Linked DNA regions of Diceros bicornis minor. The protein of the gene in region 2 purifies or fractionates together with the protein of the main gene of each other region. This does not show direct contact. Links are inferred from orthologs where the notes say so. Each region holds a gene or a part of one and is shown on either strand. Other genes may lie near its edges.

Region 1 (7,404 bases), on a different chromosome or scaffold from region 2:
CAACCACCCACACGGGAGCCGGCCAGGCGCGCCGCTGCGCTTAGAGATGCTCAAGGGACGGCAGGCTACAGAGAAATGACCGGACACGGGTGCAAGTGAGGAGACAGCAAGGGCTGGGTGCCCCCCCATCTGCTTCCTGTCTTGTCCAGGCAGGGAAGCGTGGTGGGACCAAGGTAGAGCGGATCCAGCGTGGATTCAAATCAGCTGCTGGGGTTGGAGACCTGACACATCTCGGGCTAACGGTGCAGCAAGAGAGCTTGCAGCCAGACACCAAGAAGGACTTCCCAGATTGGGGCTTGAGACTGAGAAACCCCTCTCTCCATTCTCCCTAGTGGATTTGCATGCAGTCCCCAGACCCCCATCTGAGGGAGCAGTGGTTGAACTTATGTGTCCCCCAGGGAGTTGGGAGGACCAAGGATTGAGGCTTAGGTGGGGGAAGGGGAACTACACACACACACACAGTCACTCTCTGCACCAGGCAGCTGTGAGGCGGAAAAAATTCAGTAATGGGGAGCGTGAGTCAGAGGGCTGGCAGGGAGCGGGGCGCCTGCCGTGAGCTCATCGCCTCCCTTCTCCCCGTCCAGCACCCCCACCGACAATTAATGTCAACTCGGGGAACAAGGAGCCAGACAGAAGGGGGGTTCTGCGGTGGACTGGAAAAGGCATCAGAGAGAGGGAGACCGGTGCACAGCAGTTCCAGGCTTTATTAACAAACGAGTGTAAAAACCCAGATGGGCCTGGCCGGCCCTCTCGGCTCTCACGGCTCTCACCTTCCCCGGAAAGGGCCAGCGGGCCAGGCAGCCCTGAGCTCATCCCCTCCTCCCCGGGGGCTCTCCCTAGGCAGACAACCCTCCCCTGCAAAGGCTCAGCTAGCTCATCCCCTCCAAACACAGGAATCAAACCCCAGCCCATTCCCAAGAGGCCTTGTCCCTATCCTCCACGTCCCCACCCCAAGTCCTAACCCTTGGGGGGACAGCTGTGCTCGGCCTCCTCTCCACCCCACATCCCTCTCCCAGGCCCATAGCACAAACAGCGCAGACTTTGCAGACAGACAGACCGAGATTTCTCAGTGCAGACAGAATCTGAGGCAGGGGATTAGACAGATTGACCTCTCTGAGAAGTTCAAACACTACAGACAGCCATCAGGCTGCGGTGGGGTCTCTTGCCTTCTGCAGACCTGTTTCTGGGCCCTGGGTGGGCTGGGGATTCACGGAGGGAGGGCATGAATGCGCCTGCACACAGTAGGTACTCCCTAAGTGTTGGTGTTCCTCCCTCCCTGTCTGGGTCTGGAGTCACAGGTCCTTGCTGAACTCCCTCACCAGCGTGTAGCCCATGCAGCCCCAGCTCCCGTCGGCCTGGTACCCACAGCCCTCCAGCATCCCCGCCACGCCCCAAGCTGCCACGGCCACCGGAACCACGAGCCGGGCCCGGGGCTCCCCCATGCCCCCCGCCCAGGCTCGAGCCCGGGATTCGGCAAAGGCCAGCAGGCGCCTGCCCACGCCTCGGCGCCGGTGCCAGCGGGAAACGGAGAGGCGGGTGACCCGGGCCCCATCCCCGGCGCTGGAGCCCGGGGCCAGGGCCAGGACCCCGCACACGTCCCCCGAGCCGCGCACTGCCACCCAGGGCCCCCCCAGACCGCCTGGTGGAGGCAGCGAGCCCCACCGGGCCCGCAGGCCCAGCTTCACAGCCGCCACAGCCAGGAACACAGGCAGGAGGAGGGCCAGGGCAAAGGAGGCCAGGACGAAGCGCAGGCCACTGCTGGCCGCCGCCAGGAGGAGCAGGGCTGGTGGCCGCGTCAGGGCATGCAGGGCCACGCGGTTCTCGGTGTCCTTCACACCAGCCTGTGGGCAAGACAGGTAGTCAGGGCGGGGAGGCTTGGCCCTCCGTCACGATAGGGCCCCCGTGGGCACCAGGGACTGGGAGAGAGAACGGGCCCTGCCAGGGAGGGATCCAGGGTGGGCGCTCCCGAAGGAGAAGGGAAGTTGATGCGTGGTCAGCTCCACAGCCCTCCAGCTGTTAACACCCCGCCTGACCCCCAGGGGTGAGAGAGGGCGCTAGAGAAAGGAGGAGCCGTGCCAGGACGCGGCTTAGGAGGAAATGATGGCTCCCCAGGGGTCCCGGCTGGCTCAGGCTGGCTCAGGCACGTGACCGAAGCCACTCACACTGGGGTCCCTGGCCCCCCAGGCTCACGGTGCCCCCAGGTGCCCCCTCCCTGCCACCCCCAGGCTCATGGTGCCCCCAGGTGCCCCCTCCCCCCCCCCACAGGCTCATGGTGCCCCCAGATGCCCCCTCCCCCCCCCAGGCTCACGGTGCCCCCAGATGCCCCCTCCCCCCCCACAGGCTCATGGTGTCCCCAGGTGCCCCCTCCCTGCCCCCCAGGCTCATGGTGCCCCTGCCGGCTCTCACCTTCAGCATCTCCAGCACCAGCGGTTTCTCATCTTCCCTCATCTCCCGCACAGACAGGTGGCTGGGGGCCATGGCAGCCCCCAGGCTCCCGCTCCCCCAGAAGGGAGCAGGCGTGCACCTGGTGAAAGCAAGCAGTGAGCATCAGCAGGGCACCTCTCGTCCCCAAAGCGCCCCAGGGGTGGGGACCAGCAGCAGCACGTCCCAGATCAGGACACTGCAGACGCTTGGGGTCCCCAAGCAAGGTCCGAGGCAGCATAGGCCTCCCTCCACCCAGCGACCTTTCTCAAGTCTCCAGGGGTCCCGCCTCCCGCCCGCCCCGTGGTGTTCAGCGATCTACCCCTAAGCGCCCTGTGAACGCCAACACCTTGCAACCCGGGGCCCCCGCCCAGGATCCGGGGCTGCCCCGGGGAAGGGGGTGGTCAGCGAAACTCCCCCCACAGCCGGGGAATGGGCCGCGCTCCCCAACCCCGGCGCCCGGCGCCCCTTCCCCCCCACAGTCGCAGGAGCAAGGACACGCAAGCACCTCTGCAGGTCGCTTCGATCCTTCGACAAGGCGTGGGGGCTGCAGGGTCGGGAAGGGGTCGCCGGCGGAAGTGACGTCACACCGCGCACGGAGGGGGGCGGGGCGGCGCCTGCACTCGGCCTTAGCAACTGTTGCCAAGCTCCCGGCGGGGGCTCGGGGGAGTCCGGGCGTGGACTGGGAGGGACCGGGCAGGGAGCGGCGGGGGTGGGGCAGGGGAGAAGGAGCCATGGAGAAGGGGGCCTCTGGGAAGACGGGAGCAGACGCTGGCGGGGGAGGGGCCGGCAGGGAGGGGATGGGGGCGGTGGGACCCGGCGGGGTGGGGCGGGGAGCGGTACTCACCCGGCTCGCGGAGGGTGAGCTCAAGCTCGCAGCCTGACGTTCCCTGGTTGCTAAGCAACCGGAGCGCTGAGAGGGGGCGGCGATGCGAGCAGATCAATTCTCATTGGCTCCGGGGCCTTCGTGGGAGAGGCCGCGCCAGCATCCCGAGCCCACTAGCTCCCAAACTCCCCCACCCCAGGAACCTCCACGCCAACCCACCTGGGCTCTCAGTGACCTTCAGATAAGCATTCCCGTCCACCTATCTTTCAGATGAGAGGAGGGGTGGGGTGAGTTACAGCGAACAAGTGGCTGAATCCGGATTCTGGATTCCAACGTCTCCCCACTATACTGACCACTGCATCCCTTTTTTAAGAATAAACCGAGCCCCACATAGAAGTGGCTGACGCCAAGACGCAAAGCAAGTCACCTGCGAGCCAGGAAGCAAGAGATAAGACTCCAAGCTCCCAACCGGTGGTTATGGCCATGACATTTCCCTCCGCGCCCCTCCCCACCAAAACAAAACACAGAAGAGGAGGTTCTGGTCTTTATTAGCAAGCCCGGCCTGCAGCACCCCTGCCCCCAACCCAACCCAGGCAGACAGAAAGTCGGGGTCTCCGTGTGGGGCGGGAAGAGGTACCAGTGGTTCTACTCAAAACGTGTGCACCAGCTGGACTGCGGGCAGAGTCTGGACAATCTGGATGGAGGGCAAGCCCTGTGGGGTCATGCCCCCAGGCACAGCTCCTGCGGGGACCACTTGTACCATCTGGGAAGTGGGCGCCGCAGGGATGCCCGCGGGGATAGAGGCTGGGCCAGGTGGCGGTGGGGCCAGCAGCTGCAGCGTGGCGGCGCCTCCCCCAATGCTGCTGTTCTCCAGCAGCTCGGTGGCCGGAGCGCTGCGGATGATAAGCAGTTTCTGTCCCGGGGGGCCGGGGGCAGGTGGCTCAGCCAGCCCCGCGGGGAGGGTCTCTACCTCCTGCACACACAGCTGAGTCTGCTCGCCATCGGCCCCGCTCAGCACCAGGACGCTCTGCAATCCCTCATCGGTCTGCAGCGTCTCAAAGAGCACGTCCTGGACCACGCCAGCGCTGGCCTCACCGTCACCCGGCTCCCCGGGGCTGGGGCCCGCCAGCAGTTCCTCTGCTGCTCCACTCTGAACCACCAGCAGGTTGGGGGCCTCAGTGGTCACCGCTCCCGCACTAGGATTGGACAGCTGGCCCGCCACAGGCTGGAGCTGGACCGTGGTCACTTCCTGGGCCGGCTGGAGCTGGACTGTGGTCACCTCCTGTGCCGGCTGGAGCTGGACCGTGGTCACTTCCTGTGCCGGCTGGAGCTGGACAGTGGTCACTTCCGGGGCTGGCCGGAGGGGCTGGAGCTGGACCCCACTCATTTCCTGTGGCCCTGCCTCCCCAGCCCCCACATTCTGCAGAACGATGAGGCTCTGCCCTCCCCCGCTGGCCCCGGTGTTGCCCCCTCCCTGTACCCCTAGCCCCCCAGGGCCGGGCAGCCAGACTACTCCAGTCCCCGGTCCAGCTTTCCCCACTGCCCGGGGGCCCTGTCTTGCGCCGCTGCCCCCACCACCAGTACTGGAGGAGGGCAGCAGAATAAGCTTGGGGGGTGCGGGTGGGGGCGGGGGCGTAGGGGGCTGCACGCTGCTGGGGATGAGCTGGAGGCCTTGGGCGGTCTGCACCAGGAGGAACGTCTGGGAGTTGGGGGCTGCCGGGCCTGGGGGCGGGGCCTGGGCCGGGCCCCCTGCCACCTCGAGGGAGAGCGTGGCCTGGAGGTGGGGGAGGACGTGGACATCTTGGGTGGCAGAGGGGGCTGGAGCGGCAGCCAGCGGGGCAGGGGGCTGGGGGCCGGCGGCGGCGGGGGCTGCGGGGCCGGCAGCCGCGCTGGCCGGGGCGTGCGTCCTCAGGTGCCGCTGCAGGTACGCGGCCATGACGAAGCTGCGGCCGCAGATGGGGCAGGCAAAGGGGCGCTCGGCCGAGTGGGTGCGCTGGTGCAGCAGCAGGTTGGACGAGTGCGTGAAGGTCTTGGGGCAGAGCGGGCAGCGGAAGGGCCGCTCGCCCGTGTGCACGCGCTGGTGCTGCCGCAGGTTGGAGGTCTGCGCGAAGCTCTTGCCGCACACGCCACAGGCGTGGGGCCGCTCGCCCGTGTGCACGTGCCGGTGGCGCCGCAGGCACGACGTGTTGCGGAAGGCCTTGCCGCACTCGCCGCAGGCGTAGGGCCGCTCGCCCGAGTGCAGCCGCAGGTGGTACTGGTAGTGCGAGGACCACTTGAAGGTGAGGCCGCACTGGCCGCAGGTGAAGGCCCGCAGGCCCGTGTGCACGCGCTGGTGGATGGCCAGCAGCGACGAGCGCTTGAAGGCCTTGCCGCACTCGCCGCACTGGTAGGGCCGCTCGCCCGTGTGGTCCCGCAGGTGGTAGCGCAGCCCCGACGAGCCCTTGAAGGCCTTGCCGCACTCGGCGCACTTGTAGGGCCGCTCCGCAGAGGCCGGGGCGGGCGCGGGCGGCGGCGGGGCGGGGGCGGCGGAGGCCAGCGGCTCCTGGGGACAGGTGACCTCGGCGGCCTCGGCCTGCGGGGGCGGGCGCCCGGCCGCCGCCTCCTCCACGTGGCACTGCTGGTGCGCCAGGAGGCTGGCCAGCTGCGGGAAGGCGCCGTCGCAGCTGCCGCAGCGGAAGGCCTGCCCGCCGGCCGCCCCGTGGCTGTGCTGGTGGCGCGAGAGGCCGGCCACCGTGCGGAAGGACTTCCCGCAGGGGAGGCAGGCGAAGCCCGGGGCGGCGGCGGCAGGAGGGGGCTGCGGCAGCGGGGACGGCGGGGACAGCGAGGGCGGCGGGGCCGGGGCAGCCTTGGGCGGCTCAGGGGGCCCGTCCTGGGGCCCGGGCGCCACCTCGGGCCCCGGGCAGGGCTGGTGCTCCAGGAGCAGCTCCTCGCTGCCGAAGCCCAGCTCGCAGCCGTCGCAGCGGTACACCAGCTCCACCGTGGTCTCGGCGGCAGCCAGGAAGAGCTCGGGCACCACGGGCGGGGGCGCGGGCGGCGGGGGCGCGGGCGGGCTGGGGGCCGGGAGGTGCCGCGGCAGGAAGGCGGCCGAGCCCAGGGCCTTGGCGCCCGGCTCGCGCGGCGCAGGGGCGGCGGGGGGCGGCGGTGCCGTGGGTGCGCTGGTGCAGCAGCAGGTTGGACGAGTGCGTGAAGGTCTTGGGGCAGAGCGGGCAGCGGAAGGGCCGCTCGCCCGTGTGCACGCGCTGGTGCTGCCGCAGGTTGGTGCTCTGCGTGAAGCTCTTGCCGCACACGCCGCAGGTGTAGGGCCGCTCGCCAGTGTGCACGTGCCGGTGGCGCCGCAGGCTGGACGAGTTCTTGAAGGCCTTGGGGCAGTCGGGGCAGGGGTAGGGCCGCTCGCCCGAGTGCTGCCGCAGGTGGTACTGGTAGTGCGAGGACCACTTGAAGGCCAGGCCGCACTGGCCGCAGGTGAAGGCCCGCAGGCCCGTGTGCACGCTGCGGTGGATCTGCAGCAGCGACGAGCGCTTGAAGGCCTTGGGGCAGTCGGGGCACTGGTAGGGCCGCTCCCCGGTGTGGCCCCGCTGGTGGTAGAGCAGCGCAGACGAGCCCTTGAAGGCCTTGGGACAGTCGGGGCACTTGTAGGGCCGCTCGCCCGTGTGCGTGCGCTGGTGGTGCAAGAGCCGCGATGACCACCGGAACGACTTGCCGCACTCCCCGCACTCGTACTGGGCCGCCGGCGCGGGGGCTGCGGGGCCCGGCTTCTCCGCGGTGCCCTCGGCGGTCGCGGCCGGCGCCATGTCCGCGTGGGAGCCGACCATCACACCTGGGGGGATTCCAGGTCAGGGGAGGGCAGGCGCTCCCCCCTCCACCCACACACCGCATAGTCTCAACCCCACCCCCAGACGCCGGCCCCTTAGGAGTCAGGGGCCCCTCAACGCCCACCCACGCTGCAGGGAACCTCCCTCAGGACTAGGGCTTCCAGTGGTCCAGGTTTGCCCCGGAATGAGAGACTGCCAGGTGCTAAAATGGAAACTTCCAGGCAAACTGGGAGGAGCTGGTCACGTGCCTTAGGAAGTTGGCCATCTCCTCCAGGAGGATGGACAGGCCTGAGGCCAGGCACTGCCTTTAGGGCTCTGCTCATTCCCTCCAAAGATGGGCAGTGT
Region 2 (7,506 bases):
GAAATTTTTCTTCTTCTACATCAATAAGGCAGTTGTCAGCCCTGCAGGATAAACTTGGGGCGTTTTAGACCAAAAGATGTTTAGAATTTGATTTGGGGTTATGGATAAATCCACTGCCCTCTTTTAAGTTCTTAGGTTTTTATAAGGTCTTTTTTTTGGTGGGGTGGCGGGAGTGCTAACAATTGATTGTAAAATGTAAGAGACAAGTTGTATTTCTTCCCTTTCGTCCCAAGCAAAGATCTGGAAGGATGTCAGCAGATGACAGGCACCGGTTTTTTGTGGGTCTGTACTAGCTTTAGTACAGGCATTTCTGACTGACAAAAAAGAAATGTCTTGACTGAGAAGAGTTAAGATAAACTTGTCAGCTAAACAAGTTAAGATAAAGCTTGGTGCTTTGCATGCTTTATCCCATGAGAGTTATGACAAATGGTGGTGGTGGGGGGGGCATTAAATGCAGGACCTTAAAGCAGTGGTTCTCTTCCTCGAATGTGTCTGAGAATGGCCTGAAGACCTAGGTTAAAAACCCCAAGCCCCTGAGACAGTTGTGAGGGGGCTGGGGGATGGGCAGGAGGGGGAGGAATGTCTCATTTCTCAGTAGCACTGGCTCCAGTGTCCCTGGAAAGGGAGGGACTGGACATTCCGGAAGGTGCAGGTAATATAAGGGGATGGAAAGAGCTTGAGTGCCCATGTCCATTCAGATATGATCATGGGGCCTCATGAATTGCTCCCTGAGGAGGGAATCATCACCTCCATCTTACAGATGAGGAAGTTGAGGTTCAGCATGTCCTAACAGATAGAAGGTGCCAGAACAAGGATTCGGGCCCATTGCTGGCTAACTCCAGACACCAGGTTCTTTTCCCTCACCAGGCCTGGAATCCATGTAGGGTCGTGGTTTTCATCATTACTGAAGTGGAAGTTATTCTTTTAGAGTTACTTAATCCTTCATTAAATTCATTAAAACTCCATTTTAACCCTTCTCATTAAAAAAGAAAAAGCCACGATCAGGCAAGACTATCCATTTTCAAAGGCTGCAGCTTGAGTGGATTTATTTTTAAATGCATACAGTTCTCAAATACCTCAGATTGATTTTTTTTAAAAAAATCAGTTTTTACCTAGATCTGAAATAAAATTGGGAACTTTTTTCCTCCCCACAAATTCAAGATACACACTTGTCTCTTTTTTCAGACATTTAGGGATATGAACTCACCCCTTTGCCCTCTTTTTACCACAGGATTTCTAATATGAACCATGCCTCTCAGTGGACAAAGTCCCTAAAAAGACAAAAAAGATTCAGCAACCTGCTGAAGCCCTGCGGTTTGTACCAGAACGTGGGTGTTTGTGAAATTGATAGGACACTGTTTCTCCCTGGTTTTTCATGAATGACATGAAGAGATTTCATTGGCTTCTTGCTTGTGGGTGATTCAGGGGAATTGTAACCCTCTGAGCAGGTGAGGCTGAGATTTGCCCTTTTTTACCTCAGTCTCTTTCACAGAGAAAGAGAAACAGCATCAGCAAGAAGGCAAAGCTGTTAAAGACACTGTTTCACTTCCTAGGAATGGAACTAATTCAAACGGAAGCTAAATTGGCCAAACTCTTGATAACGTTACAGAAAACAAAAAGTGTAAAACAACCCCTCCCTCCCCAAAAATGGAGAATGATTTCACATGTTTACATTTTTCTTAGCTAAACTAATATTTAACCAGCCTTAATAAGGCACTCCATGTCATTAGAGGAGAACATTTCCCTGCAGCAAATTCTCAGAGGACATTAATAAGATAGGACTCCTAGTTATTTCCAGTGGGAAGTCTTATGTTGCTATATATATAAATTAATGTCATCACAGATGAGTCGCCTATTATAACACATGTTTTCTCTGGGAACCCTGGGGAATTTTTCTAATTACTGAATTATTTATTGTTTGCGCAGAGCAGAGAAAAATTCTCTCTATTAGCAAGACCCTTCTGTCATGAAAAACAACAAAACACTTGGCCGGGGAATGTTCCCCCTAGAACTAAGCATGATTAAGAAAGTCTGCCAAAATTTATTTTTGGAGAAAGTTATTTGCTTCTCCTATTTATTTATTTATATATGTCTTCATTTATTTATTTATTTGTGAGTTCATTCTGAAAAATCGCCTTAGTCAGGAAAGGGATGGTGAAGAGGGTTTTTGTTTGCCGTCATTTTAAGACGTGAGTTCTTATCCCGTGTGCTGCTCCTGCCACCCACCACCCTGATGGAGACCTTCTGATTTTACACTAAATGCTGATTTTTACATTCAAGTGGCCTGCAGAGATTTTTAAAAATTCCATCTCAAGCAAGTTAAATCTCAGCCTCTGGAGGAGAAAGGCCCAATGTGGGTATTTTGTGAAACCCGCCCACGTGATGCTGAGGTGCAGTCAGAGTTTGAGAGTCACTTCATAGACTAGGAAGAGGCTGGGAATTGGGCCTCAGGAGCGTGGGTCTCATTTCAGCTCCACCTGCGTCATTTTCCTTCCCCAGCTCAGATTCCTCATTTTTAAGATGATTATCCAATTCGTTCGTTAACTACCCACCATGCAAAATATTACAAAACACCAATCGACGCCCAGGAGAAAGTACTTGAAAATTCAACGTTAGACAAATATCAGATCACTATGACTATGCTACAGAAAACAAATAGCATCTATCTAACCAACAATGTGCAAGTTTACTGCAAGTTCATTAAAAGGATTAATAAACCAGAAAGAAGAGAGAACTAACAGTTCACACAAATAAATACCTCTAAACATGCAGAAGAGTTGCAGAAAGGCTTCCATAAACATTACCATTTTAATAAAAAAATTTTCCCTGTCTTTAAAATCTGCATGCAGAACGCTGAATAACTTGTATCCCAAATATGGGAGTTATTATGCCACAGTGCACTGTCCACTTAGGTACTGGAAGATTTGCATTTGGGTTTGCTTTACTGAAGCAAATGGCTAGAGAATCCATTGCTTCTGTTGAACATGCCCTGGTACCCGATCCCATTCTATTGCACTAACCAGACTGCAATCTCTTCGCATGCCGTTGGTCCTCCGTGGGCACCCAGTTTTCTCCAACAGTGTTTGGATGAGGCCTCTTGAGTGGTTCAGGGGTGCGGGGTCACCAGCAGAGAGAACTCGTAGTACTTGTATCAGTTGGCCAGGACTCCAGGTGCTGCTATCCTGGGCTGAGGGCTTTTTTGTCTCAGTAGAGGGAACAAGGCTGAGTAGAAGGAACAATGGCACCCAGAATACCGGAAGCTTGGTCCAGAAGCACATTTCCACTCCTCCTTTATCTTGAGTCTGTCTTGGATGGAGGTGGGTGGGCTAGTGTTCACGGTGTAAACTGGTAACCGGAGGAATGTCTGCAGTAAAGGGGAAAAATAAAGGCTTTAATTATTGCGCCTGCAACAAGTTTGAAAGGATTCATTAATTGGGCAGCTAAGCTGATTTACAGTGACAAGCTGTTTCTGAACAACAGGGGGTCTGTAGGTCATTTATAACCCCAAACGGCAGGAAACTATCATGGTTGTGGACTCAAACTGTAGAATAGCCAAGAAGTTTGTTATGTTGCCTCTCTCTGAATTAAACAATGAGTCAAAAATTAGGAGAATAAGTTTCTCTGTTTATCCTACAGGTGGTACAAGTCATAGGACCCTCATTTTACCCCATCATAAAGTAGAACTCCCAGTTGTTCGTGGTCCTCATCACTGATGTAAGTAAAGAAAAGTAAAGAAAAAATAAATTTTCATAAATTACCAACATCATGTTGAGTTAGAAGGTTTTGGACAAGGAAGGGTATTAGAAGAAAATAGTAATGTCCAGGAAACACGAGTGATTTTTTACTTTTTAGTTTATTAAAAGCGTGAACCATCTTAGAAAAATAAGAATCCCAAGACCGCCCAAGCCATGATAAATCCACCCAGTCAGGGGCCAATAAAGGGGTGAGGGGTTGACTTTAGAGCCAATCAGCTTTCTGGAAAAAAAATTAATCTCTTCAACCAATTGCTTAAGGAATGCAAAATGTTAACAGCATCTCATGTCAGATCTTGGCCCAAAGATGAACAAAGAATGACTGTGGGGCAGTAACAAAGATACCGGGATTATTTTACAGTTAAAATAAAAGAGTGTAAGATTCTTATGTTAGCATTTAAAAAATGACAGAGGATGATACAAACATTTCTAAACCCAGTGCTTACCTTCAGAAGAAAGACAAATGATTATTTATCTGGAGCTCTGTGGCCTTTTAAATCTCGGAGAGAATTTCGTGGTTACAAAGTCCTCTGTTTTTAAAACTCCTTGACTGTGCGCTGGGAGCTGGAGAGGATTATTTCAGCCCAGAGAACTTTCCAGTTGCTATGGAGAAAGCTGCTCTGAAGGCAACAATGAAGGTGGATAAAAGTGAGAACTTTCTGTCTGGCAGATTTTCAGGAAAATCAAATAAATGTGGCTAATGAACTCAACTTTTTATATCAATATTTACCAATTTTCTTAGCATTCTAAAACAATCTGAGAATTTCTTACAATCACTTGCCTTTTAAGGGACAGATCTAGGTCAAAGGATTTCACCTTGTAAAATGGAAGTGTTTTAGTGTTAGATCAAGATTTCTTTCTTTCCAGTTGATTCCGTGATAACTGTTTTATCTAGACTCAAACCAAGGATTTGTTGAGTGCAGAGGCTCTTTAAAACTGTATTAATTTTACAAGGCGTGGAGGTTTAAAACATTTAAGGCATTTGTAAATTCATAAATAGATGTTTTCAAACAAGAATAAAAGTGTTTGTTGGAGGAATAAAGTTCTTACCTGGGAAGTAAGTAGATGCAGCAGGGAACTTTAATTAGCTGTAGATAATATGATCCCGAAGTCTGTGGTAGGAGTGATTATATAAGGCCCTTCCGGCTCTGGGAAACTGGGCTCTTAATAAACTATTAGTGAATAAATGATTGAAAGAACAAAGTCGTAAATTTCATAGAAAGTAAGAGAAGTTAAAACCCAAGATTTCAAAATTGGCAGAGTAATTTACATGTAAATGGCACATAGGATGTTGAAACACAAAGAATCCGAAAAACACTGGGGATGGGTAGACACTTCTGAGTTCAATTGTGTAGGCGGCAGGTGAGGAGGCAGAGGACATGATAAAGAAGTTGGAATAATTAGTCTCCTCAATCTCTAACTGGATACGAAAATTGGGAACAACAGGGTGAGATAGTCCTAAGAGAATGCTGGTAGCACTGATAGAAATATGGAAGACCCATGGTTCCAGAAAATGCCAGGCTTCTCTTGAATTACACATCATGGAGCACTTGGATTTATCTAAACCATCAAGGGAAGGGACTTGGTGTGTATCTCTTGTGCACTAGCTTGAGATTAACTGTTGTTAGAGTCCCGGATCATCAGTCTAGCTGAGGAGCGAGGAGTCAGGACCTTCCCACTGTGGATCCAGTGGAGGCAGAGAAGGAGGAGGGAGCAGGCTCAGGACCAGAGGGGCACTGGGCAAAGCTCCCTGCAGGCTCCTGCTCATCGCCTATTACCATCCCCACAGTGGGCCCCACCTGAGCATCATTTGCAGGCTCAGGGGCCTGGTTAGGAGGTTACTAAAGAAAAATAGTCCAAAACCTAGTGAGCGAATTATCCAGTCCTACTCTCACCTGCTACCTTTAGGTACCACGGCTTTGCCTTGTTTTTGGAAGTAAGCCCTTGTTTCCTGGCCCAGCTCCATTTAGCAAATCCTGAAATCTGCCCTCCCTGCCGCGGTCCCACTGTATAACCTGCCCGGTTGCCGCAGAACTGGATCCTGATTTGTTCTGACCAGTGCTCCCAGGACAGTGCCCCTGCTGGGACTTTGCGACCTTTATCGTGATTGCCCTATGCCGATGTCCAGCCTGGGAGTCCCGTATTTCCTAGTCTCAGATTCCCTGTGGCTAAAGATTCCCTCCTGATAGGGCCCCAGCGAGTTATCTCCTGCAGGAATTCTCCAATGCCAATCTCTAGTCTCAGCTGCTCCCAACACCTCCAGCATCCTCGCCACAAGCCACAAGCCTGCCAGCTAAATGAATTCCTCCCATTGTCACATGCCTGAGCCCGCTCCATTTGTCCCCAAGGCTTGCTCCAGCCTCACAGTCATACTTAACAATTCAGCCACCAACCAGGGTCCTGTTTCTGTCTCACGGTGATGCAGGGACAAGGAGGGGCGAGGAGAAGCCCCGGATGGAGGCTCTAAGGCAGCCAAAGCAGCGGAGGGCTGGCAGGCAGGTCACAGGAGAGCAAGGGGAGCTTAATAAGGGACCAAAACACTTGGCTGGACGTGGCCGTGTCACCTTCTTCCCTCGACTCTGGGTTGAGGCTTAAACTCTTTGTACCCAGCCTGCCCGCTTCCCCAATAAGCCTGAAATCAACCTTTCTTAAACACGGATATATGTGCAATCCAAACCAACCTCTAGCGGTAATGAGTTTCATAAGTTCACTAACCAACTGTGTGAAGAAGCCATTCACAAGGCGTTCAACCCCCGTTTGGGACCAGGTTCGTCTGAGGCAGTATCTCCTGACATACAGACACGTGTTTGTGCTATCACAGGAAGATGTAATGGACCGGAGGTGGGAGGGACGAGGGGGTACTGATTAATCAGTCTTTCCTTCATTTTGATTCTTTGCCTTTTGATGTGGCCTGACTTTCAAACTTCTTCCTCATGTCAGGATAATGTATTTACATGTGTACTTTGCCTTGACCCAGAAGGAATGAAAGGGTCCCACCAGGTAATATAAAATACAAGATGGCAGCAACCTAAGAAGAGCCTGAAACAAGAGTAGAGCCATCTTCTGGGTATAGTCCAGGGCTGCCGAGTACAGTTTTGCAGGTTGGGCATTGTACAACTCTAAGGATCATCATTCACTTCTGTAATCATCACAGATTTATGTGTGTATTACAACAACTTTCCAGCAAACGTCCTGAGGAAAGGAGGCTCTGAGCTGGTGGCGGGGCTGTGTGCTCCTCTTCCTCAGTGCCCAGCCTACCCCTGTGGGGCCATCTCTGGAAGTAATATGAGGTCCCACAACTCTGAGCTACCTCTGGACCTAGCTAATCCCCACGTGTGCTTTTACACTATCTTCTCTTTTTTTCAAAGACACTAACCTCTCTAAATAATAGTTAACGTTTATTAACATTTTTCAAGTGTCTTTTATGCCTAGGCAATGTACTGAGCAACTTCACATATATTTTCTCCCGTAATATCAGTTGAACCTAATGAACTTCTCAGTGTACACTTCACAAATACCCAGGGTCACACAGCTAGTAGGTGCCACCAGAAACCCAGCCCTGGCCACATTAAAGTTGGCGCTTATACTACCAAGCAGCTGTCTATGGTGATGTGATCCCATGCCTTTATTTGTAAGTCCAAGCTCCTTTTTACAATGCAGCATGGGGGATATACAAAGGAAACAGACAAGAGCCCACCATAAAGGAAACAATCTGCTACATTTTGATTTTTGCATTCTCCCCACAGCCCTGTCA
Region 3 (8,341 bases), on a different chromosome or scaffold from region 2:
AGAGCTGCACACCGGAGAACACTAAGGGAGACATAGGAGGAAATTCACAATATCGCCGGGTGACATAAACATTAGTGCTTTCTTTTTCCTCCTATACTTTGTCTTGCCACGTTCCAAAACTTCTGTCCCCCGACTTTGGAGCTTACACCACGAGAAAGTAAACCCTCCGGGTAAGGCGCAAGGAAGAACCGCGGGAAGCCGCCCCGCCCCCGGTCCCGCCCCCGGGGCTTCCAGGCCCCGCCAGCCAGCACGCCCATCTTTGTCTGCCCCTGCCCCCCTCACGTTGAAGGCGGGCAGCTGCCCTTCGGGTGTGCGATGCAGCTCGCGGACCAGCTCCATGGCCTTTTCGCAGAACATGGCGGACGCGCCCCGGTCCCGCGGCCTTGTGAGCCGCCCACTCTCACGACAAACGGTCCCCGGGCTCTCGGCCGCCGCTCTCGGCTCCTATCTTTCCCGGTCCCACAGCTCCTGATCCTCGCTTCCCCTCCGCGTTTTGGCGCCAAGCCTGGCCAGCCAATAGGAACGCACTGATGGGCGTCGCGGCCTACGGCGGCGGCAAAGGGACATTTGACTCCACTGCCCAGCTGCTTCAAGACGGGCAGAGTCCTGGGTGGAGGTCCTTTGCTGGGGATGGCCCCCGCGTGTGGGGAGAGCCGGCGGGCCTGGGTCCGCAGGCTGAGTAGACTTCTTCGAGTTCCCAGGAGGGTAACCAGGCAACTCTGCGCGCACCACGGCTCGGGAGAAATGCAGGCCCCGCAACTTCCTTTTTCCATTTGAGTCATTCCTTTTCGTTTAGGTTCCAAGGGTTGCGCACTTTGAGGTTCAGAAGGCAGGCCCGGGAACTTGGTGTGCATTCACGTTATGACGCAGCGTTTCGTTCGTTAGTTTTGCAGTGTGAGTTTTTCGTTTGATAGATAGTAATGGGAAACCAAGTTTTATTGGGTATTTCTTGTGTGGCAGGGACTGGGACTTCTATTTCATTTAATTCTCAGGATTAACCCTAAGGTGGTCATTAAGTCTCTTGGAACGGATTAGGAAACAAGTTATGGGCCGCCCCGTGGCTTAGCGGTTAAGTGCGCGCGCTCTGTCGCTGATGGCCTGGGTTCAGATCCTGGGCGCTCACCAACGCACCGCTTCTCCGGCCATGCTGAGGCCGCGTCCCACATACAGCAACTAGAAGGATGTGCAGCTGTGACATACAACTGTCTACTGGGGCTTTGGGGGAAATAAATAAATAAATAAATAGAAGTCACTTCTTAAAAAAAAAAAAAAGGGAAACAAGTTAGATAATTTGCCCGAGGTCTCACAGCTCATCAAGTGACAGACCCTGTATTTAAGCTTTCAACTCCACAGTACCACCTTTGATTTTAAAAGAAGTCATTTAAAAACATTTGTAAAATAGCTCCAGTCACAAGGTCTATGAAGGGGGAAAAATGCCCCAGATTAACACGCATTCACATAGCCATATACTTGCCTAAATGATTATGGAAATTTTCATAACTATATAGAATCGAAGGTGGGAATTACTGCTATAGAAACAATTCGTTTTATTTGGATATTTTTTAAAAAGCAATATTACTTGGATTCATTCTAGCTAACCCTAGACACTGTGTCCCTCTTCTGCAAATATAGATACAGTAGATGTGTGATCTGAGACGTGAGCATGGGAATGGCCTACAATGCTTCAATCATCCTTAAGTTGAGTGACATTTCATTTTCAGCTCTACGTTAAGAGATAATTTAGCTAAGTGTTTTCATTAAAGATACAATTCTCTAGTGGACTGTGCTACAGTATTGTGATCCAAAACCTTTTTAATTTTGCCATAAACCTTTTTAATTTCAGTCCCCAGGCCTGGGATTCACTTCCTTACCTATCCAATGAGGACAACAGTACCCACTTCTAAGGGGTTGTGATGATTCATTATTCCTGCAGCAAATATTTTCTGAAGTGTCTATTACATCCTGGGCATTGTTCCAGACACTTAAGATGAAGCAGTGAACACAATCCTTACTCTCAGAATCCACGTGCCAGTTTGGGAAAAGCAATACATAGATGCCGATATACTAATGGCAAATATTGGTAAAAAGTGCTACGAAGGAGAATAAGCCAAGGAGGGTGAACAGAGTACTGGTGAAGCCTGAGAGTTTTGAGTTAGTGTTCAGAGAAGGCACAGACCTGAAGTGGGGAGGTAGTGAGCCACGTGGATATGTGGCCACAGCATGGGCAGAGAATTCCAAGCAGCAGGAATGGAAGTGCAGAGGCTGGGAGGAGGGGTGTGGGGGGACGTGTGCAAGCATGGGAGGCAGTGACACTGGAGCAAGGTGAGCATGGGAGAGGCTGGTGGCTGAGACCAGAGCGAGGGCTGGAGGCCATGTAAGGTACAGCCTGTGGGCCTTTACATAAGCTTTTGGTTTTATTTTCAGTGAGATGGGGAGTCAATGAAGTGTTTTGAGCAAACAAGTGACAGGATTGGACCTAGGTTTTTAAAAAGACCTTTGTGGCCGCTGCGTTAAGTACAGGTGAGGCAAAGGAGAAGGCAGGAGACCACTTAGGCTATTAAAATAATCCAAGTGAGAGATGATGGCATCTTGGCCCAGTGTGTGGATGGTGGAGGTGGTAAGAAGTGCTTGGATCCTGGGGATAGATTTTTAAATGAGAACTGACAAAGCTTGGTGATAGATGCTGTGGCATAAGAAGGGAGGAATCAAGGGTGACCCCAGGGTTTGGCCTGAGGAACTCCAAGGGTGGAGTTGCCACTCCTCACGTGGGGAAAGTTGTGGATGGAGCTGGGGGTGGGAGAAGAGTTGGGAGCTCAGCTTTGAACACAATATGGTTAGGCGCCTGTAGGATATCAGAGTAGATGAGTAGACCATTGGATAGAGGAGCCCAGGGTTCAAGGAAGAGGTGTGGACTATTAGAGATACAAATGTGACTGTCCCCAGTGACAGGTGGTATTTAAAGCCTGGATAAGATCACTCAGAAAGTGAGTGTAGACTACGAGTTGAGGACTGTATAGGCAGGGCCTAGTGCCAGCAAGCAACACTCAATACCCTTTACATTTCTCTCTTCTCTCCAGCCCTCCCTTCCTTGCTTTTTTGTTTCTCTATTAAAAAGGATTTTGGGGGCCAGCCCCTTAGAGTAGCAGTTAAGTTCACACACCCTGCTTCCGCGGCCCGGGGTTTCCTGGTCTGGATCCTGGGTGCGGACCTCGGCACCACTCATCAAGCCATGCTGAGGCAGTGTCCCACGTGGACGAGCTACAACTCTACAACTATGCTACACAACTATGCACTGGGGCTTTAGGGAGAAAAAAGAAAAAGAGGAAGATTGGCGACAGATGTTAGCCCAGGGACAATCTTCCAAAAAAAAGAGGATTTTGTGAGTGATAGGTTCAAAATTTTTTTACACTTTAGTTCCTGGATTCCCAATCTCTGGTATGTACTACTACAATGCTTTATAAAGAATTCACCATTTAAATTCCACAAGTGTAGTTGGAGATATCCACACAAATATGAACACTGGTTGTGATATCTGGTATACAATCAATGAAATTCTTCTGCCATTTCAAAGTATCATCACTGTGGGAGATCAAAATTGGCCACCCTGAAATATATCTCTTTACCTTGATTATTTTCTCTGATGGACATTTGACCTCCCCCAAACTGCCTAAAGGAATTTAACTCTGGGTGTAGACAGACTGGCAGGGTTCTTGCTAAACCCATTCTTAACAAAGCTCTGTTTACCAAATATTTACATTTGTAACGGTATCTCCCTCTGTATAGTGGGAAGAGGGGGGATGACTTTATCTGTGAAAACTCTTATCAGGACAGAAGACAACGACTTAAATCTACATACTCGATCACTATAATTCCTGTCTCTCCGGCCACATTCTTTATAGGTGGCCCTGGAAAGCATTGTCTGACGAACACTTACATTTCCCTGTCCATGTAAATTGTCTTATTGCCCTCTGAAATCCCAAAACACCACCTGCCCCAACATCCTCCTTTGTCTTTAGCTGAAGATGGTATTTAAGATGAGAATCTCTGCCACTGTGTTGAGAAATTCAGTTTCCCTGGTTTCTCCCATGTATACATGTTATTAAACTTGGTATTATTTTCTCCTGCTAACCTGTCTTGTTAATTATTTGGCCAGCCAGAAGAACCTTAAGGGAAAGGGTGGAGGGGGATTCTCCCTCTTCCCCAACAACACAAAGCTAATACAAGGAGCTATTGAATTTCTAAAGGCATTTCTAATTGATCTTAAGTTATCACTGGCCAATAGTTTTCAACTGATATAATTGTTGAAATTACAAAAGTTACTTTCGAATAAGTAAGCAAAATCTCTTGGTGGCAGATGGTTTGTAAAAAATAATGGCCAAAGCTATAAAACTAAACATGTGAAACTGCTCTTTTATCTTTTCTGTTTGTAGGATGGGTTGAATTAGTTCTTCATTTGGGCTTCACAAGTGGAAATTTATCTTTGAAATGGATTGTCCCCCTTCTGCTAGTTCTAATTGTTTTACAAAAATCTAAAACCTAATACAGGTTTTTAAAAAGTAACAGCTGTTTTCACATGTCGTCCCAAAAGCTAAAAATAAGTATCTATACATTTGTGTTTCAACAAACCAAAAAGTACCTGAAAATGCATTTTTTTAAGTAAAGTCCTTGTGGGAAAACAGTTATAAGTCATTAGAATTGTGACTTGTTACCTTTTTCTTTTTGTCCTATAAACCTTTGTAAGAACATTTCCAGGGGTTTACCCAGATTGGGTTTTGAGTGTTGCGCGGGGGTCAGAAAGCCTGGGGTGGAAGCGGAGGGAGCCAGCTTTCCGCGGGGTTCTGGCTCGCTGGGCGCCCGTTTCTGGCAGGCATTCCGCCTGCCCCTCAGCACGCCGACAGAGGCGGCCCCCGCCGGGCGATGACGCTCCCTGCGGCTTCGTCCGCCCTTCTCCAAGATGCCGGTCGCGCCAGGGATGCTGGGTGCGCTTCCGCAGCACCGGGAGGAGGCAGGGCTGGCGGCAGCCCGGCGCTGATTGGCCGGTGCGGCCGAGGCCCCGGCGCCAGTCCGTAGCCGGCGCCGCGACCTGGGCTGGGATGTGAGGGGCGGTGGGCGCCGGGTGGCGGCAGCTCCTCTGGGCGGCGGCGACGACTGCGGCGAGGCCGGGCGGGCGAGGCCTGCGGGCGCCGTAGGCGGCCGGCCGTGTAGGCCGCGGGATGAGGAAGCGGCTCGAGCCGGTCGCCCTGGAGCATGAGCGCTGCGCCGCTTCGGGCTCGTCCTCCTCCGGCTCGGCCGCCGCGGCGCTGGACGCCGACTGCCGCCTGAAGCAGAACCTGCGCCTGGCGGGCAAGGGGCCGGCCGAGCCGCGCTGCGCCGCCGACGCGGGCATGAAGCGGGCGCTGGGCAGGTAGGCGCGGCGCAGGGCGGGGCCCCTACCTAGCCCGCAGGTGCGGCCCGTGCGCGCCCCGGAGCCCCCCCCCGTCAGTTCCCCGCCGCAGGAGTGCCCCTACCTACCTTCCAGCCCCTCACCGTCCTCTTCCGGCCTCCGCGGACGCCCTCCCTTCCTCTGGCCCGCCAGTGCGGCCTGGGGGCAGCCCCCGACCCCCCATCCCGCCCCTCGGTACCTGCCCGCGCCGCACTCCCCTGGTGTTCCTCCGCTCCCCACCCGCCCCCTCAGCGCCTGGGATCCAGCCCCCGCCCCTGCCTTCCCCCGGGTGAGCCAGTGGGGACGCTTTCAGCGACGAGCTGGACGAGCGTCTCTCCCGGGGGTTTGGAGCGGCAGGGAAAGGACGACTCCGCTTGCGGGTGTCGGGGAGGCCCCTGGACGCCCGGCGCGGCACGGAAGATGTGGGAGGCGGAGGGGCCGGCGCCAGACCTTGGGTGTTCTGGGGCCAGCTCGGATCTCCTCTTTTGCGAGGGACTCGCGAGGAGGCTCACCGGTACCTTTTTCTCACTTTGGTAATTCTTGGTCTCGGATAACTAGTTGTCAGAAGTGGCATTGGGGGGGGGAGTCCCTGTGGTGTAGCAGTTAAGTTCCTGCGCTCTGCTTTGGCGGCCTGGGGTTCCTGGGTTCAGATCCTGGGCGCGGACCTACACACCGCTCGTCAAGCCACGCTGTGTCGTCCCACATGCAAAGTAGAGGAAGATTGGCACAGATGTTAGTTCAGGGCCACTCTTCCTCACCAAAAACAAAAAACACAAAGAAGTGGCATTCTCTGCTCAGAACTGCCCGGCCTTTGGGGGAAGGTTAAGTAAGTGGTCTGCAGTGACAAGGGAAAGGAAGAAGTCACCACATCCTCAGCTGCTGGAGGAAAACCTGTCGTTCGCTGTGCGGGTGGCTGGTGGTGCTTGAAATTTGTGCACAGGAGATGTCTCCTTGGGAATCTCCGTAAAGTCCGGAAGTCATCTGGTTGTTTGCCTTCTCCTTTTGGGTAGGAGATGAATGCGTTTATGTAAAGCTGACTTCAACCTTGAGACAGGAGCATATTTAATAGGGACAAATCGTCCTCCTCATATGCTGGTTTCTTTATCCGGCTATTTGTAGAACATCATTCATGGCAATTTTGAAGTCTTAGTGTTTCAAGGTGTTTGAAGAACTTAGCGTGTAATGTTCTCAGGTATTGTGGCAGAGTCATTTCTTTTGGAGTCACCTGGAATGCCCTTAATTGACACTGGCCACTTAAGTGTAGAATATTTATCCAAGTAGCTCCTTCAAAATTTCAACTTCATGGCTTAAAAGATCATGAAGTTAAACTGTAGACTCCTCTAAGTCAGTGGTTTCCAGTCCTGCCAGAGGGGCAGGGACTAACAATATTTTTGTTTTGTGTATAATTATCTAGCAACTGGTCAATGTCTTTTGTGAAATGAATCTGTTCTCTCTTCTGTGGAAAAGTTTGTGTTAAAAAGTCATGATTGGCTTTAATGCACTTTTATTAACAGGCTTTGTGTAACATTTAGATAAATTGGGAAATTCTTCCTTTGAAGAAATCAAGTTGTGATGCACAGTAGTGTTTGGGGAAGCAATGCTGGCCTGGCACCTTCCTTGAAAATGTACTGTAATAAAAGGATCTGATTAATTTTTATTTTTGTATCAGGGGACAAAGAGAGACACTCAAGTGGTGCTTATATATCCTTTGGATAAACAAAAAGTTGTTAGGGGAATAAAAAGAAAAGCAGAGAGCGGAAAGGCCAAATCTGTGTGTGACCCAGTGGCTTCCTTCCCCGTTGCCTGGAATGCTCCCCTGGACATTCTCCTACTTTGTTCTTTCCTTCCGCCAGGTCTCTGCTCAACTGTCACCCACCTCAGAGAAACCTTCCTAGCCCAGCCCATCCAGAATAGTCTTTGAGCCATTTGCAACCCCCTTAATTCTGTTTACTTGTTTCCTCATCACACTTATCCCTCACCTGACCTTGTAATTGCCTCCGTACTTGACTTGCTTTATGGGTTGTCTCCTCCCTAGCAAGAATGGAAGCCCCATAAGAGCAGGGTCATTGTTTTCTCCACCTCTCTATCTCCAGTGTCTGACACATTGTAGGTAGGAGAAAATACTTGTTGAATGACTATCTAGAATAAATTCCAAAAGTGGAATTGCTGGGCCAGCGGTTGTGTGTGTATGACTGTGAAAGGTATAGCCTTGAGTGCCCTCCAATTGGTGTTGATTCCTCCTCCCTCCAGCAGGGTCAGGTGCCTCCCTGCCCAATGCTGAGTATTACCAGATATTTTGATCTTTTTCTATTTGATTGCTGAAAATGACATCTGATTTGTAGTTTTAATTTGCATTTCTTAATTGTTAGGTGGCAATTTTCGTGTCTTTTTGTAAGTCTATTATATACATTTGGGATTATTTAAGTCTTTCATCACCCTCCTTTGGGTTCTCCTGCACATTTCTTATAACTTTCTATTATGTACATTTTCAAATATGCAAAAGTGGAGAAAACAATGTAATGAATGTCCATGTATCCATCACTTCATTTCAACAGTTTTCCATGTTTTGCCAATCTTGAATCACCTATTCCTTCTCCCCTTTTTTGTAGGGTGGGAGACTAGAATATGTTAAAACAAATGATTTTATCCATAAATACTTCACAATATATGTTGAACAAATGAGGACTTTTTGAAATACATATACTTTCAATGCTATTACCACATTTATCAAAATTAACAATTTATTATCTATTATTAATTTAATATTATCTAATATCCAGTGTATATACACATTTCCCCAGTTTCTCAGAAATGTGTTTTTTAAGTTGGTTTGTTTTAAAATCCTGTACAGGGCCGGCCCCGTGGCTTAGCGGTTCAGTGCGTGCGCTCCGCTGCTGGCAGCCCGGGTTCGGATCCCGG

The links.
Region 1: the proteins of SLC39A12 (region 2) and NAT14 purify together in Homo sapiens (co-immunoprecipitation; 3 studies listed by BioGRID and IntAct, counting the BioPlex papers as one, with this or other methods). This does not show direct contact. The link is inferred for Diceros bicornis minor from reciprocal best matches to the Homo sapiens genes SLC39A12 and NAT14.
Region 3: the proteins of SLC39A12 (region 2) and ABHD12 purify together in Homo sapiens (co-immunoprecipitation; 3 studies listed by BioGRID and IntAct, counting the BioPlex papers as one, with this or other methods). This does not show direct contact. The link is inferred for Diceros bicornis minor from reciprocal best matches to the Homo sapiens genes SLC39A12 and ABHD12.

Annotation. Positions count from the first base shown.
Region 1 is NC_080773.1:33,455,347-33,462,750, reverse strand, and holds NAT14 (probable N-acetyltransferase 14), read right to left. Parts: upstream 3,081-7,404; 5' UTR 2,930-3,080; intron 2,525-2,929; 5' UTR 2,479-2,524; coding exon 2,407-2,478; intron 1,842-2,406; coding exon 1,293-1,841; 3' UTR 687-1,292; downstream 1-686. UniProt on the Homo sapiens protein: Probable acetyltransferase. May act as a transcription factor that regulates the expression of coproporphyrinogen oxidase by binding to a promoter regulatory element.
Region 2 is NC_080775.1:18,065,214-18,072,719, reverse strand, and holds the start of SLC39A12 (zinc transporter ZIP12), read right to left. Parts: upstream 3,279-7,506; coding exon 3,021-3,278; intron 1-3,020. UniProt on the Homo sapiens protein: Uniporter that promotes Zn(2+) import from the extracellular space to the cytoplasm across the cell membrane. The transport activity is temperature dependent. May play a role in neurulation and neurite extension.
Region 3 is NC_080758.1:51,379,751-51,388,091, reverse strand, and holds the start of ABHD12 (lysophosphatidylserine lipase ABHD12), read left to right. Parts: upstream 1-5,116; 5' UTR 5,117-5,213; coding exon 5,214-5,404; intron 5,405-8,341. Other genes in the region: GINS1 (DNA replication complex GINS protein PSF1), read right to left, coding at 283-357.